Linked DNA regions of Oryctolagus cuniculus. The protein of the gene in region 2 purifies or fractionates together with the protein of the main gene of each other region. This does not show direct contact. Links are inferred from orthologs where the notes say so. Each region holds a gene or a part of one and is shown on either strand. Other genes may lie near its edges.

Region 1 (7,414 bases), on a different chromosome or scaffold from region 2:
AATTTCAGACAATTGACTAGAAAGTACATTTTTAAAAAGGAAGGCTCAATGTTTGTATGCAGCAGTATCTTCAAGTAACTAAACACAAAAGGCTTTCACAATTGAAATTCCTGGCTGGCCTTGAAGGGCCACAAAAAGGAAGAGTGAACAAAGATTTGCACTTTATAAATGAGACACCTGATCCGGATATAGAGCTGAGATATAATCCGTGTAAAACACAAGAAGGAAAAACACGGACAGAAACAATGCCAGGGAATCCTTTATAGCTGGGACTTTAGAGGAAAAGGAATACTCCCTAGGGCTTAAAGGAAACGATTTTAGATTCAATTTTTTAAATTATCGTAGTAAGTAATTAATGTATAAAATCTCGTATCCCAATAGGAATTACCATGATCCACAAGGAAATAAGCTAGCCAGAGTAGAGTGATAAAAAAGGGATACTAGGCCGGCACCGCAGCTCACTCTGCCTGCGGCGCCGGCACACCGGGTTCTAGTCCCGGTCGGGGCGCCGGATTCTGTCCCGGTTGCCCCTCTTCCAGGCCAGCTCTCTGCTGTGGCCAGGGAGTGCAGTGGAGGATGGCCCAAGTGCTTGGGCCCTGCACCCCATGGGAGACCAGGAGAAGCACCTGGCTCCTGGCTTCGGATCAGCTCGGTGCGCCGGCCACAGCGCACCGGCCGCGGTGGCCACTGGGGGGTGAACCAATGGAAAAGGAAGCCCTTTCTGTCTCTCTCACTGTCCACTCTGCCTGTCAAAAACAAACAAAAAAGCATACTAGGCCTTAGCTTGAGCCCTCAGACAGAACAGCCAGCAGCCCCCAAGCCTTGTCTTCACGAACTGTTCCCTCCCATGACGGAGAAGTCCAACCCCAGGTCTTACCACCAGTCTGCCCCACGTATGTGTGCAGATAGGAACACACATGCCTCTCTCACTTAAAGACGAGTGCCTGAAATATCTTACATGCTTTACAAAGGCTCCAAAAGTCTTTTATTATTGACAGGCTATAACATTTTTTGACTTATTTTTCTTTTAGAGTTAAGAACAACCCCACCCCACCCCCAAGGGCTGGTGTCGGGCACAGTTAGGTTGCCCTTGCAAGGCCAGCATCCCATTATCTGAGGGCCAGTTTGAGTCTCAGCTGCTCTGCCTCCAATCCACCTCCAGTAAAGCACCTGGAAAGCCAGCGATGGCCGATGGCTTAAGCGCTTGGGCTCCTGGCTCAGCCCTGGCTCTGGTGACCATCTGAAGGAGTGACCCACAGATGGAAGATGTACCTCAGTCATGCTGCCTTTCAAGTAAGTGAATCACTGTCACCCCTCCCCAACCTCAAATCAAGAGGAATCAGGAATCGCTGCTTCTCCAAGTGAACGAAAAATCTGAAATGGCCAACCAACCACATGCACAACTAGGCAGTAACTGTGCCCTTGGACTCGAACTCACTGCCAGCACGCTCAGGACACCTTCGACAACTCACCCGCAATCCGCAGCCGGCCAAGCAGTGGCAGGCCACGGAACTCCGCAACAGTGCAGTTACAGGAACACTGTGTTCCCTCCCTTTTCACAGTACAGCCTCAATTAATTGTATCCACAAATGTACCATCTATTAACTGATTCTGTTTACGAGTCAAAATGTCTTTTTTTCTGTGGATCAATCACTGACAAACGCACGCTCCTTCAGCTTTGGCCTGGAATGGTGAACTCGTCACTCTGAGGACAGAGATTACCGGGGCTCAGCCGCCCCCGCCCCTCAACCCAGCACAGAACAGCGAGAACTAACAAGGGCTTAGGCACTCTGCACACCGACAAGCTGGAAGCTGGGTCCTCACATTTTCCCAGTGCACGTTTACTCAGTTGTGCTTTTATTCATTCATAAAGAGAATACGAAATTCTGACTGTTAGTGTTCAAGGGGGCTGGTGTAAATGTACCCCGACAGAGGTGGCCCCCAGCACCACACTGACCGAGAGCCAACATCTTGTTCAGTGACAGCTACTTCAAAAACGTGAAGGCATTTTTCTTCATATTACAAGATCTCTTCCTCAGCTTTCTACTTCAGCCTGCTACAAGATACACTGTTCAATAATAGTTAATTCAAATTTAAAGTTCTTTTGAAAATACTACATCCTTAAAAATAAATGAGCTCTCCAAATGAAAAGGGAGGAAAAACCAAATTTGGGGATCATCCATTTCTATCCAACTCTAATGTTAACACTGTGCTTTCTCAGGCTCTCATCTAGGATTACCTTTCATGGAACTATGACAATTTTACTTAAAAAGGTATTTTCTATACTTATGTAAGCAATATATTCACTGAGAGTAACCACAGGAAAAAACTGGCAAATCTTTGTTGCAAAGGTGCCCTGCATAAAACATTTTTTGTTTGTTCAGGAGTATGACGAGATACACAGTTAGATAAACAATAAAACTGGGCAAATAAACCCCTAAATTGATAGCATATATCAAGTAAACACAACAAATGGAACGATTCACCTTTCCCCTATTCCATGAAACCACTGACAGCTCACCACAGGACGCCTACACCGAGTGTCCCAGGTGCCCAGGACACTGTGCCACCTAACTGCACAAACATGCTGCGATGCGTGCACGAGTGCGCCTCTCAGAACACAGCCTGTCACTGGGTGACACGTGATAAAACTCGGGTGTGAAAAAACTAGCCTTCTGAATTTTTCTATAAATAAGAATACATATCATTAATGTCTGATAGCATTAATATTACAGCATAAAGAGGATCACCATGGAGGTCTTTACATTGTTAAATGACTGATTTTACTTCATTTTGGTGGGATCCTCTAAATTTCAAGTATACACGTTTATTACAAAAAACGTTTACTAAGAATCAGTACTCCTGCGGAAAGAAGAACTGAAAAATTACATACAACCTTCTGCGTTACCCTCATTTGTAACACAGGGATACCGGTTCTTACCTATGGAGTTCTGCTGGACTAACCCAGATAAACCAGGTCCAGCGCTTACAGCTGTATTAGCATATAGTACAAAATCAGTGCATGTTAGCTGTTACTGTTTCGACCCAAAGATAACGCTTCTCATCTGCAATTTAGGAAAATTACAAAGACTGCACACCGACTTAGATTAGCAGGTAGAATACAAGCTACTTAGGAATGCTACAACCCACTATTTTCAGTATTCTTTTGGGAGAAGCTATGAAGAGGCGGGACAGTGAGTCTAAAGGGCAGACGTGGGATGTGGAAGTGCCCAAATCTGTGCTCTATCTGGCGGAATCACTAACGATTTGACCATGCAACAGTGTTCATAAATAATCGTCAGTCACCCGGCCATAAAACAAACCCAGAGACATTGTTAAATAATGTGATACTTTGTGACCAAGCGCTTACTCACTCCTACCTAGTTCATAAAGACAGCGAGGGTGAGGCAGAACCAGGGGCTGTGCAGTCCGTGGGCTGCGCCAGGCTAACCTCGCACAGGGCAGACCACCACGCACCCGACAGAGACCACAGCGGCCAAGAAGCCTGCCTTGTCCCATTGTCCAGTCTCACCAAAGGCACACCTCTGGATTTCCAGCAAAGTTGTAGAAAATCCAAGCTGGGCTTTTCATCGTTCTACGAAAATTACCCGGCCCAGCAACGTCCGCCAACCTGGACGTCTCAACGAGTGCCACACAGGCCGGGCGGGCGCCGAGCAAGGCTGGCAGGGGCCGCCCCTCACGACCCCCACACGGACCCACTCCGCAGAGGGCCGGCGCAGAGCGCCCACCGCACCGGGCGAGCAAGGACGCCGCGCCCCGCGCGCACGCACCGGCCTGGGCGGCCACGGCGCCCGCCAGCCTCGCCGCGGGGCGCGGGCGACCCCGGCCGGCTCGCCGCGGGGGCGTGTCCGCCGCCTCCCCTCCCGCCCGCGGGAGCGCCCCGGGGCCCCCGCGTGTCGCGGGAGCCCGCCCGCCCGCGCGGCCCCGGTCCTCTGTACCCGTTGCTCCCCGCACAGCAGCAGCTCCGGGTAACTGAACTCCACGCAGCTCTCGTCCGTGGGGTCCTTGAGCACCAGCTCCAGGCGCACCGTCTCCCGCGGCGGCGGCTCGGCCCGGGAGGCCGCCTCCCGCGGCGGCGGCGGCGGCGGCGGCGGCGGCTCGGGCCGCGGGGGCTCGCGCTGCGGCGGCGCCATGGGCGGCTCGGCGCGGCTGCCCTCGCGCTGCGGCGGCGGCGGCTTCTCCCGCGCCGGGGGCTGCGCGTCCGAGCGGGGGCCCGGCTCCCGGGGGCCCGGCGGCTCCGCGCGGGCCGGCTCGCGGTACGGCTGCGGCTCCGGCCGGGGCGCCTCGCGGGGGCAGTCGGGCTCGCGCTCGGGCCCCGGGAACTCGGCCTCGCGCCGCCTCGCCGGTGACAGGCTAATGAACGCTACTCGGCGCGGCTCCGCCATCCCCACTGTTCTGGCCCTCTGCTCTCGCGCGAGCCGGCGCGCGCTTCTACGCCGCGCCGCCCGCCTGCCCGCCCTTCCTTGCGCTCTCCGTCGCTTTTCTTCCCGCCACCGCCCTCCGCCGTCTCCGCCGACGCCACCGTGAGTGCGGACCGTGCCCCCTTCCCCGCCACTACGTTCTGATGGGCTCCGCCGCCATCGCCAGGGTCGCCGCAGCCGCCATGTTGGATCCCCCACATAAATAGAAGCAGGCCGCTGAGCGGGCGCATGCGCAGAGAGGAGACGCTCGCGTCCTCCGTCGTGGCTGTGGCTCCGTTTTCCTCTTTTCTTCCCGGCGGCCTGGAGCTCGCACGGCTCGGCGGAAGTGACGTCATGACACGGCCCGTTTCCCTGGAAACCGAGACGCCGTCGGCCGCCCGGCTCGCAGGGAGGGGGTCTGGGCTTCCGGAGCCGCTTCCTAGTCGCACCCGGAAACCGCAGGCGCGTTCCGGCCTGGGCCGGCGCGAGTGTCGGGGTCGTGCGTGGGGCCGAGCCGGGCCGCCATGGCGCCGGGGCCCGCCCGCCGCGTCGCGCCGGCTCTCGGCTCAGGGGAGTTGGTGATTCGGGGAAGTCACGGAGGAAGGGTTGAGGGGCGCGAGGACCGGCCCCCGCCGCCCCGAGGACCGAGCGGGCAGGGGGTGGCGGCCGCAGTGGCCCCGGCTCCGCCGGCCGGCGCCGCCCCTCCTGCGGGGCCTGCTCGGCCTGGCGGGTGAGGAAGCTGAGGGCGAGGCAGGAGGCCGAGGGAGAGGAAGGAGGCTGAGGGAGAGGAAGGAGGCCGAGGGAAAGGAAGGAGGCCGAGGGTGAGGCAGGAAGCCGAGAGAGACGTGGGAAGCCGGAGACGTAGGAAACCGAGGGAGATGCGGGAAGCCGGGAGACCGTCAGGAAGCCGAAGGAGACGTAGGAAGCCGAGGGAGACATGGGAAACCGAGGGAGATGCGGGAAATCGAGAGACCGTCAGGAAGCCGAGGGAGAGGAAGGAAGCCGAGGGAGATGCGGGAAGCCGAGGGAGACGCGGGAAGCCGAGGGAGAGGAAGGAAGCCGAGGGAGACGTGGGAAACCGAGGGAGATGCGGGAAGCCGAGAGACCGTCAGGAAGCCGAGGGAGACGCGGGAAGCCGAGGGAGAGGAAGGAAGCCGAGGGAGACGTGGGAAACCGAGGGAGACGCGGGAAGCCGAGAGACCGTCAGGAAGCCGAGGGAGACGCGGGAAGCAGAGGGAGACGTGGGAAACCGAGGGAGATGCGGGAAGCCGAGGGAGACGCGGGAAGCCGGGGAAGAGGCAGGAACCTGAGGGAGACGCGGGAAGCCGAGGGAGAGGAAGGAAGCCGGGGAAGAGGCAGGAACCTGAGGGAGACGCGGGAAGCCGAGGGAGAGGAAGGAAGCCGGGGAAGAGGCAGGAACCTGAGGGAGAAGCGGGAACCTGAGGGAGACGTAGGAAGCCGAGGGAGATGCGGGAAGCTGAGGGAGAGGCAGGAAGCTGAGGGAGAGGCAGGAACCTGAGGGAGACGTAGGAAGCCGAGGGAGATGCGGGAAGCTGAGGGAGAGGCAGGAAGCTCCGGTTCCCAGAGTGCGAGCGTTGGGGAGAATGCTCCACGCTCGCAGGAGTGTGCTATGTACGTCTCCCTATGCCATCGTGAAAGGAACTTAATTCGGAAATTTGAAAGCAAGAAAGGAACGGCTATGGCTCGTGCTTCAGGCCTGAAGTGCTGAAACCAGCACACAGCGCTTTGAGAGTGCTTGCGGGGACCTGAAGTGGCGCGCGGAAGATGGGGCCTCCTGGGGCGAGAGCGCCGTGTCTGCAGGCTCCGAGGCTCGAGGAGTCCCGGACAGGCAGGCCGCTCACTGGAAATCACCCCAAGCCTCCTGCTAACGGCAGCTGGATTGCCTGCCAAGGGATCCCTGGGCGATGAGGTGTCGCCCACAAATCCCTAGTAGGTCCAGGGTTCGCTCTCATGTGACGAGTTAGTGAAATTGTCTCTGTGGCAGACTAACAAAGCCAGGGGCCAGCGCAACCTGACACTTGCAACCAGGCAAACCATATGGGAGTGCCAGTCCGGTCCTGGAGGCTCTGCTCCGGGCACAGCTTTCGTCTTGATTCCTGAGAAACAGCGGAGGAGGACGCAGCAGAAGATGACCCAAGCAGAGGAGGACCAAGCAGAAGATGAACCAAGCAGAGGAGGACCAAGCACAGGAGAACCCAGCAGAGGAGGACCAAGTAGAAGATGACCCAAGCAAAGGGTGACCCAGCACAGGAGAACCCAGCAGAGGAGGACCAAGCAAAGGAGGAACTAGCAGAGGAGGACCAAGCAGAAGATGAACCAAGCAGAGGAGGACCCAACATGGGAGGACCAAGCAGAAGACGAACCAAGCACAGGAGAATCCAGCAGAGGAGGACCAAGCAAAGGAGGATCACACAGAGGAGGACGCAGCAGAAGAGGGACCATGCAGAGGAGGACCAAGCAAAAGATGACCCAAGCACTTGGGTGCCTGCCGCCCACATGGGACACCATAATGCAGTTTCAGGCACCTGGCTTCAGCCTGATCCAGCCTGTGAACCAGCAGATAGAGGACTGATTTATTTGTGTGTTATTATTTGACAGATAGAGTTAGATAGTGAGAGAGAGAGACAGAGAAAGGTCTTCCTTCCATTGGTTCACCCCCAAAATGGCCGCTACGGCAGGCACTGCACTGATCTGAAGCCAGGAGCCACGTGCTTCCTCCTGGTCTCCCATGCAGGTGCAGGGCCCAAGCACTTGGGCCATCCTCCACTGCCCTCCCAGGCCACATCAGAGCTGGACTGGAAGAGGAGCAACCGGGACGAGAACCTGGCACCCATATGGGATGCCGGTGCCACAGGCGGAGGATTAACCAAGTGAGCCATAGTGCTGGCCCAGTTTGTGTGTGTTTTTTAAGATTTATTTACTTGACAGGCAGAGTCAGAGATCTTCCATGCTCTGGCTCACTCCCCAGATGG
Region 2 (5,731 bases):
TAAGTGCATAAAAAGGGAAGCCACTGAATCCACCTTCTGACTGGCACAGGGCTTCACTGAGAAGGATTCATTTGTTCTAAGTGTCAAAAGGTCCTTAAAGAAAGGATCTTTCGAGTCAAAGGAACAGGGAACGTATGTGTGAGGTACAGAAGTGAGAAAGATTATCACATTTTAAAGAGCCTAGGTAATTCATGTATCTAAGACATGACTGGAGATGTTAGTTGGAGACAAACTGAAGGGTCTTATAAATGAAATTCAAGAAGTGAGATTTTACCCCTTAGAAATGAAAATCATCATTTGAGGTTTTAAAACCAGGCTAAGAGAGAGGAATAAGATCTGTGTTTAGGTAGCTAATGTTGGTAGCAGTGTAACCAGTACTTTACTGGGGAGACCAGTTAGAAAGTTAAACAGTATTTCAGAAAGAGATGAAGACATGAAGTTGGCCTTTAGAATTAAGAACTGGTGAGAATGACTAGATGTAGGACACAGGTTCCTGGTGGCCTAGCAGCAGTAAGCTAGCTGACTGGGACTTCATTCACTTACTACCCTGGATGTTCGCCTTAGATCGAGGTTGGATGCCTCAGTCTGTGGCTCCTTACATCCATTCGTCTCCTTATTGTTTGGTGTGCTACTAGGGACATGGCCTTTAGCATCCCTAGCCTCCTCTAGCTGTCTAGCTTCCCTTCTGCATTCCTCAAGGTTCAACAGGATTCAAAAACAAATGTCTTTGATGACATCTGCCTAAAATAATCTTTACTTCCTTTGGATTTTCATAATATGAATTTTAAACAGCACACTAAATCTTAGTGTCCAGTAAAATGGCTTTTCACAACAGAGGATTATTCATGTGTTTTGTGCAGGGGCCAGTGCTGTGGTGTAGTAGGCTAAGCCTCTGCCTGTGGTGCCAGCATCCCATGTGGGCGCCAGTTTGTGTCCCAGCTGCTCCTCTTCCAATCCAGTTCTTGGTATGATCTAGGAAAGTAGCAGAAGATGGTCCAAGTGCTTGGGCTCCTGCACCTGTTTGGGAGACCCAGAAGTTCCTGGCTCTTGGCTTCGGATCAGCCCAGCTCTGGCCATTGCAGCCATTTGGGGAGTGAACCAGCGGATGAAGACTTACTTTCTCTCTCTCTCTCTCTCTCCCTCCCTCCTACCTCCCTCCCTCTCTCTCTCCCCTTTGTAACACTGCCTCTCAAATAAATAAAATCTTTTTAAAAAGAAAAACAAAAATCTGCTGTGTAGCTATTTGTGTTCAGTTTTATACTAAATTACTATTAGAATATTTGTGAGAGGTGGTTGTATAGGTACGAGAATATAAGTGTCCTGGGGAGAAAAGGAAAACTGGTATAAAAAACATTTGTTGCCAACTGGTTGTGTGGAAATAATTTAGTATTTACTAATTTAGGTCTGAAAATTATAACTGGAAAAAGTTAAAACCAATAGCACTATTGATTAAATTGTTTAAGTATTTTATAAAAAGTTATAATGAATTTGCATAATTCCTCATGAACCAACACACACAGTAACCAGAATTATTTCCCTCTGGAAGTTTAATGAAGCTACTTGAGGATACTGTGGAGAAACATGAGCTATATATCTACCTTTAGGCCAATCCCAAATGTAAGCATTTGTCTTCCCAATGTGATTTCCAAGTTTTTCTTGTTCCATGTTCAACTGAAAGTGCTCAGGGTAACTACAACTCCAATCTCGCCTGCCATTAACAGCCTTTTGTGTATGTTTCTTTTAAATTATTCCAGGCAGATGCACCTAATCCAGGACTCATTCCAGATGCTGATGCAGTAGGCGTAACAGTTGTGCTAATTACTTGTACCTATCGAGGTCAAGAATTTATTAGAGTTGGCTACTATGTAAATAATGAATATACTGAGACAGAATTAAGGGAAAATCCGCCAGTAAAACCAGACTTTTCTAAGGTAATGTCTTACTATTCCTTTTTAATTACTGTTACTATACAATTTTTTAGGCAGTTTGAGACAAAGTAAATTTGATGTCTTTGGGCCAGCTGGGCAAACTAATCATTGTTCCCTTACCATGGGTGACCTCAAACCCTTTCTCTATGCAAGTCATTAAGTATCTCTGATAAGAAATGGGCACTTGTTTACTGCTTCTTATATGGCATTTCCCATAGATCATGTTCACTTCAGCTTTTATGACATGGAAGTCTGTGTTTGTGTCTGCTTTTCATATAAACAGTTATCTATGCTTATATCAAAGTACCTATATGCTTTAGTTTTATTCTGTAGGAACAGCAGATAAAGTAAAGGTCTTAAATATTTCAGGTGATAGCAAATAGCTTAAACACTGAGAAGCTGAAATCTGTGATTCATTATTCTCAAGGATACTTAGTACCTTTATGGTTTTTCATTGGGAACTGTAACAGTTTACTAACTGGTGATTTTGAGAGGGTGCAAATCAAGTGAAGTTGAATAGGGCCCTCTGTCTGCCAGGCAATACAAGGAAAGTCACATGGCAGTAGAATAAAGTTCAACTTTCTGGTAATAAGGCTAGAATGTTTTTCATCCTGGCCAATCCTTTCATAGATCAAATTTATTGGTTATCTGTTTGGTAACTTGTACAACAGAAAAGAGAAGAAACTAGACTATTGTTTCCAAAAATGAACCATAATATTTAAAAGGTAGGAAATCACTAATAGCAAGAAGATGTATTTGGGAGAAATTTTCTTTCCCTTCTTAGGAAATAGAAGTACAAGAGTAGAAGAATAGATATTTCATAGTATAGTAAAAGATCTGAATGAATTCCCTCAGATTCTCCATATCTTGTTCCTATTAAGCCAAAATAATTGCTATGGTCCTAGTCCTTGTTTATTAGTTATGCTAAAGTGCTTTATTTGTCCTATACTTCTGTATATGAACGTAACCCTTCAGGAGTGCTAACATAAAGGACCCATTTCTTTAAGTATCTATTTGCATAGGGTGATTAAACTTTGGTAATGTTTACCATTTATATATTTCCTTCTTCTAGCTTCAAAGGAACATTTTGGCATCTAATCCCAGGGTCACAAGATTCCACATTAATTGGGAAGACAACACAGAAAAACTGGAAGATGCAGAGAGCAGTAATCCAAATCTACAGTCACTTCTGTCAACAGATGCATTACCTTCTGCCTCAAAGGGATGGTCCACGTCAGAAAACTCACTAAATGTCATGTTAGAATCCCACATGGACTGCATGTGACCACCTGCCATCCCTTTAGTACAAATTAAGCTATTAAAAATACACAGAACTATTTCCCTGAAATTCCGTAAGTACATAGTCAAGACAAAATGTGAAGAATTTGTTTAAAAACATCCTGTAGAAAGTTTATAAGAAAACCAGTATTTGAGCAAATTGTGGAATATAAATACAACTATTTTTAAGTAATTTTTTCTCTAATGTGTTATTTTATTTGTTCTGAAACTAATTTGATTAAAGCATATATATTATTTTTCTTCTCCTTTATATGTAATTAAAGCACTTATAAAGAAAAATATAAATCCTTAGACCAGGTTGTGAAGATGTCTTAGCCTCTCGGACAGTAATCTTTGGAACATTATTTTTTCTGGCCTTTGAAAAAAGAAAGTTCACTTCAACTAAGATGTTTCTTCCTGTTAAAACATAAAGTGTGGTTTTAATTTAAGGGGAAACTTTCCATTCCTTTTTGGCATGACTTTAAAAGGGGGATTGAAATGAATTATATGCTACCAAGGACTTTAGGATCTGTCCTTTTCAGGCCACCCTGAAGCCTTTTATGGTTACTATTACAATTAATGTAATGTGGGGCAGCATTTGCTTTAGTTTCTAAGATAACGAATGTACCTACATGTTTATAAAGTTCTTTGGGCTATGGTGTTTGTTTTTATAATGGTTATACAAAATTAAGACATCAGAGCACTTCTTGAATTGCTCATCATTACTGCCCAGTGAATTCAGCAAGTCAAGAACAAATACTTCCTAAGTTTAAGGATACAAGATTTAATGGCTCAAATCTGCTCATTAGATTTATAAAAATAGTGAGAACTTTTAAAAACTCGTAGTCATCTATTGTTGGCAGTACTTAAAAAAAAGTAGACTTAGAAAAGTATTTTAGCTTTATCAAAATATATAATTTACTGCTTTGGAAATACTACCTTGTCCCATATCCTCTTACAGTCATGAAGAATAAGATCAGATATTATGCATGGTGGACATATTCTAGGTAGCTTTGCCAGATTACAACTTGTTGAAAAGCAGTCTTGGAAAGGAATTCATAAACCAGATGGGCCAAAAGTTTTGTTTTCTTTGAGAGTTAGGTCCTTCTTCAGAAATTCTTTATGCTCCATTAAAGTAAGGGTAGAATATTATTTTTATTCTCGCTGCAAAGCACGACAGCCATATGATGCAGGTTATGCAGTGCCTTCATATCTAAAACTTTTATACTGCACTTTTAAAAGTTTATTTTCAGGAAAGGAAAGGGCATTTAAATATGGATTCTAGGTTGTAATAAGTGCTATAAAAGTGAATTTGTGAAGCAAAGTTTCGCTAAGTGTTAAATCTTGAAATTTAATACCAGATTATTAAAATATTGTCCATTAACTAGTTCATAGATTTTAAAAGTTAAAATACTTCTGACTGTTAAAAGTTTGAGAGTCTCATTTTTGTCTAATTGCAATTAAAAGAAAATGTTAAACAATAAAAATAAAATACTTTTCAAAAAAGCTCAGTGATTAATATAACAAGATGTACTTGTTAGAAATAAAGTATGTATAGCTAGATCACCAAATAAAGCAACTCACTACTGAGTTTTTATTCTAATTATGATCAGTGTCAGGTGACAAAGTGTTAGATTTTTATATCAATTTATAAATTTTCATTGAAGTTTGGGATTTAGAAACTATGATCTGTTATCTTAAATTTTATGGCTTCATGAATTTTTAAATACAAAAACTAAAACTGCAGCTCCAAGACTTCCTGTTTAGCCTCATTTATAGACACTATATACAAATAATAGCTAGAAGGTTTGAAGATATTTTCCCCTTCCTGATCACAGTAAATAGCTTATCCTGAGAATGTAAACATGAACAAATTATTTATGCCACTGAAAAGGTAAGTCAAGCAGGTTGGAGGGAACAAGGTTATCATTTGAGCTCAGCAACATCTAGGAAGTCTGAGGAAGCAAGTTTGTATTTGCCCATCATAGCATCATATAACCTTAGGCTTGTAGGTGGTTTTATTCACTAGTTTTAGGATTTGAGGTTTCTAGCAAACCTATGGCAGGAGTTTTGACAGGCAGAGTTAGACAGTGAGAGAGACAGACAGACAGAGAGAAAGGTTTTCCTTCTGTTGGTTCACCCCCAAAATGGCCGCTACAGATGGTGTGCTGCGGCCGGTGCGCTGCGTTGATCAGGAGCCAGGAGATTCCTCTGGTCTCCCATGGGGTACAGGGCCCAAGGACCTGGGCCATCCTCCACTGCACTCCCGGGCCACAGCAGAGGGCTGGACAGGAAGAGGAGCAACAGGGACAGAACCCGGGGTGCCGGTGCTGCAGGCGGAGGATTAGCCTAGTGAGCCGTGACGCTGGCCTCTTCTTTTTCCTTTTTTTTTTTAATGAGCCTATAATGCTAGGGTGTATTTTCATTAAAAATTACCAGAAACGTGTACCCATTAGTGTTTTATCCCCCTTAGTGTACCTTTACTATGTGCAGTATTCTGATTTTTACTGCATTTCATTTTCAAA

The links.
Region 1: the proteins of ASF1A (region 2) and UBN2 purify together in Homo sapiens (affinity purification with mass spectrometry; 3 studies listed by BioGRID and IntAct, counting the BioPlex papers as one, with this or other methods). This does not show direct contact. The link is inferred for Oryctolagus cuniculus from reciprocal best matches to the Homo sapiens genes ASF1A and UBN2.

What each region holds. Positions count from the first base shown.
Region 1 is NC_091434.1:184,735,549-184,742,962, forward strand, and holds the start of UBN2 (ubinuclein-2), read right to left. Parts: upstream 4,756-7,414; 5' UTR 4,407-4,755; coding exon 3,960-4,406; intron 1-3,959.
Region 2 is NC_091436.1:51,457,734-51,463,464, reverse strand, and holds the end of ASF1A (histone chaperone ASF1A), read left to right. Parts: intron 1-1,754; coding exon 1,755-1,931; intron 1,932-3,000; coding exon 3,001-3,213; downstream 3,214-5,731. UniProt on the Homo sapiens protein: Histone chaperone that facilitates histone deposition and histone exchange and removal during nucleosome assembly and disassembly.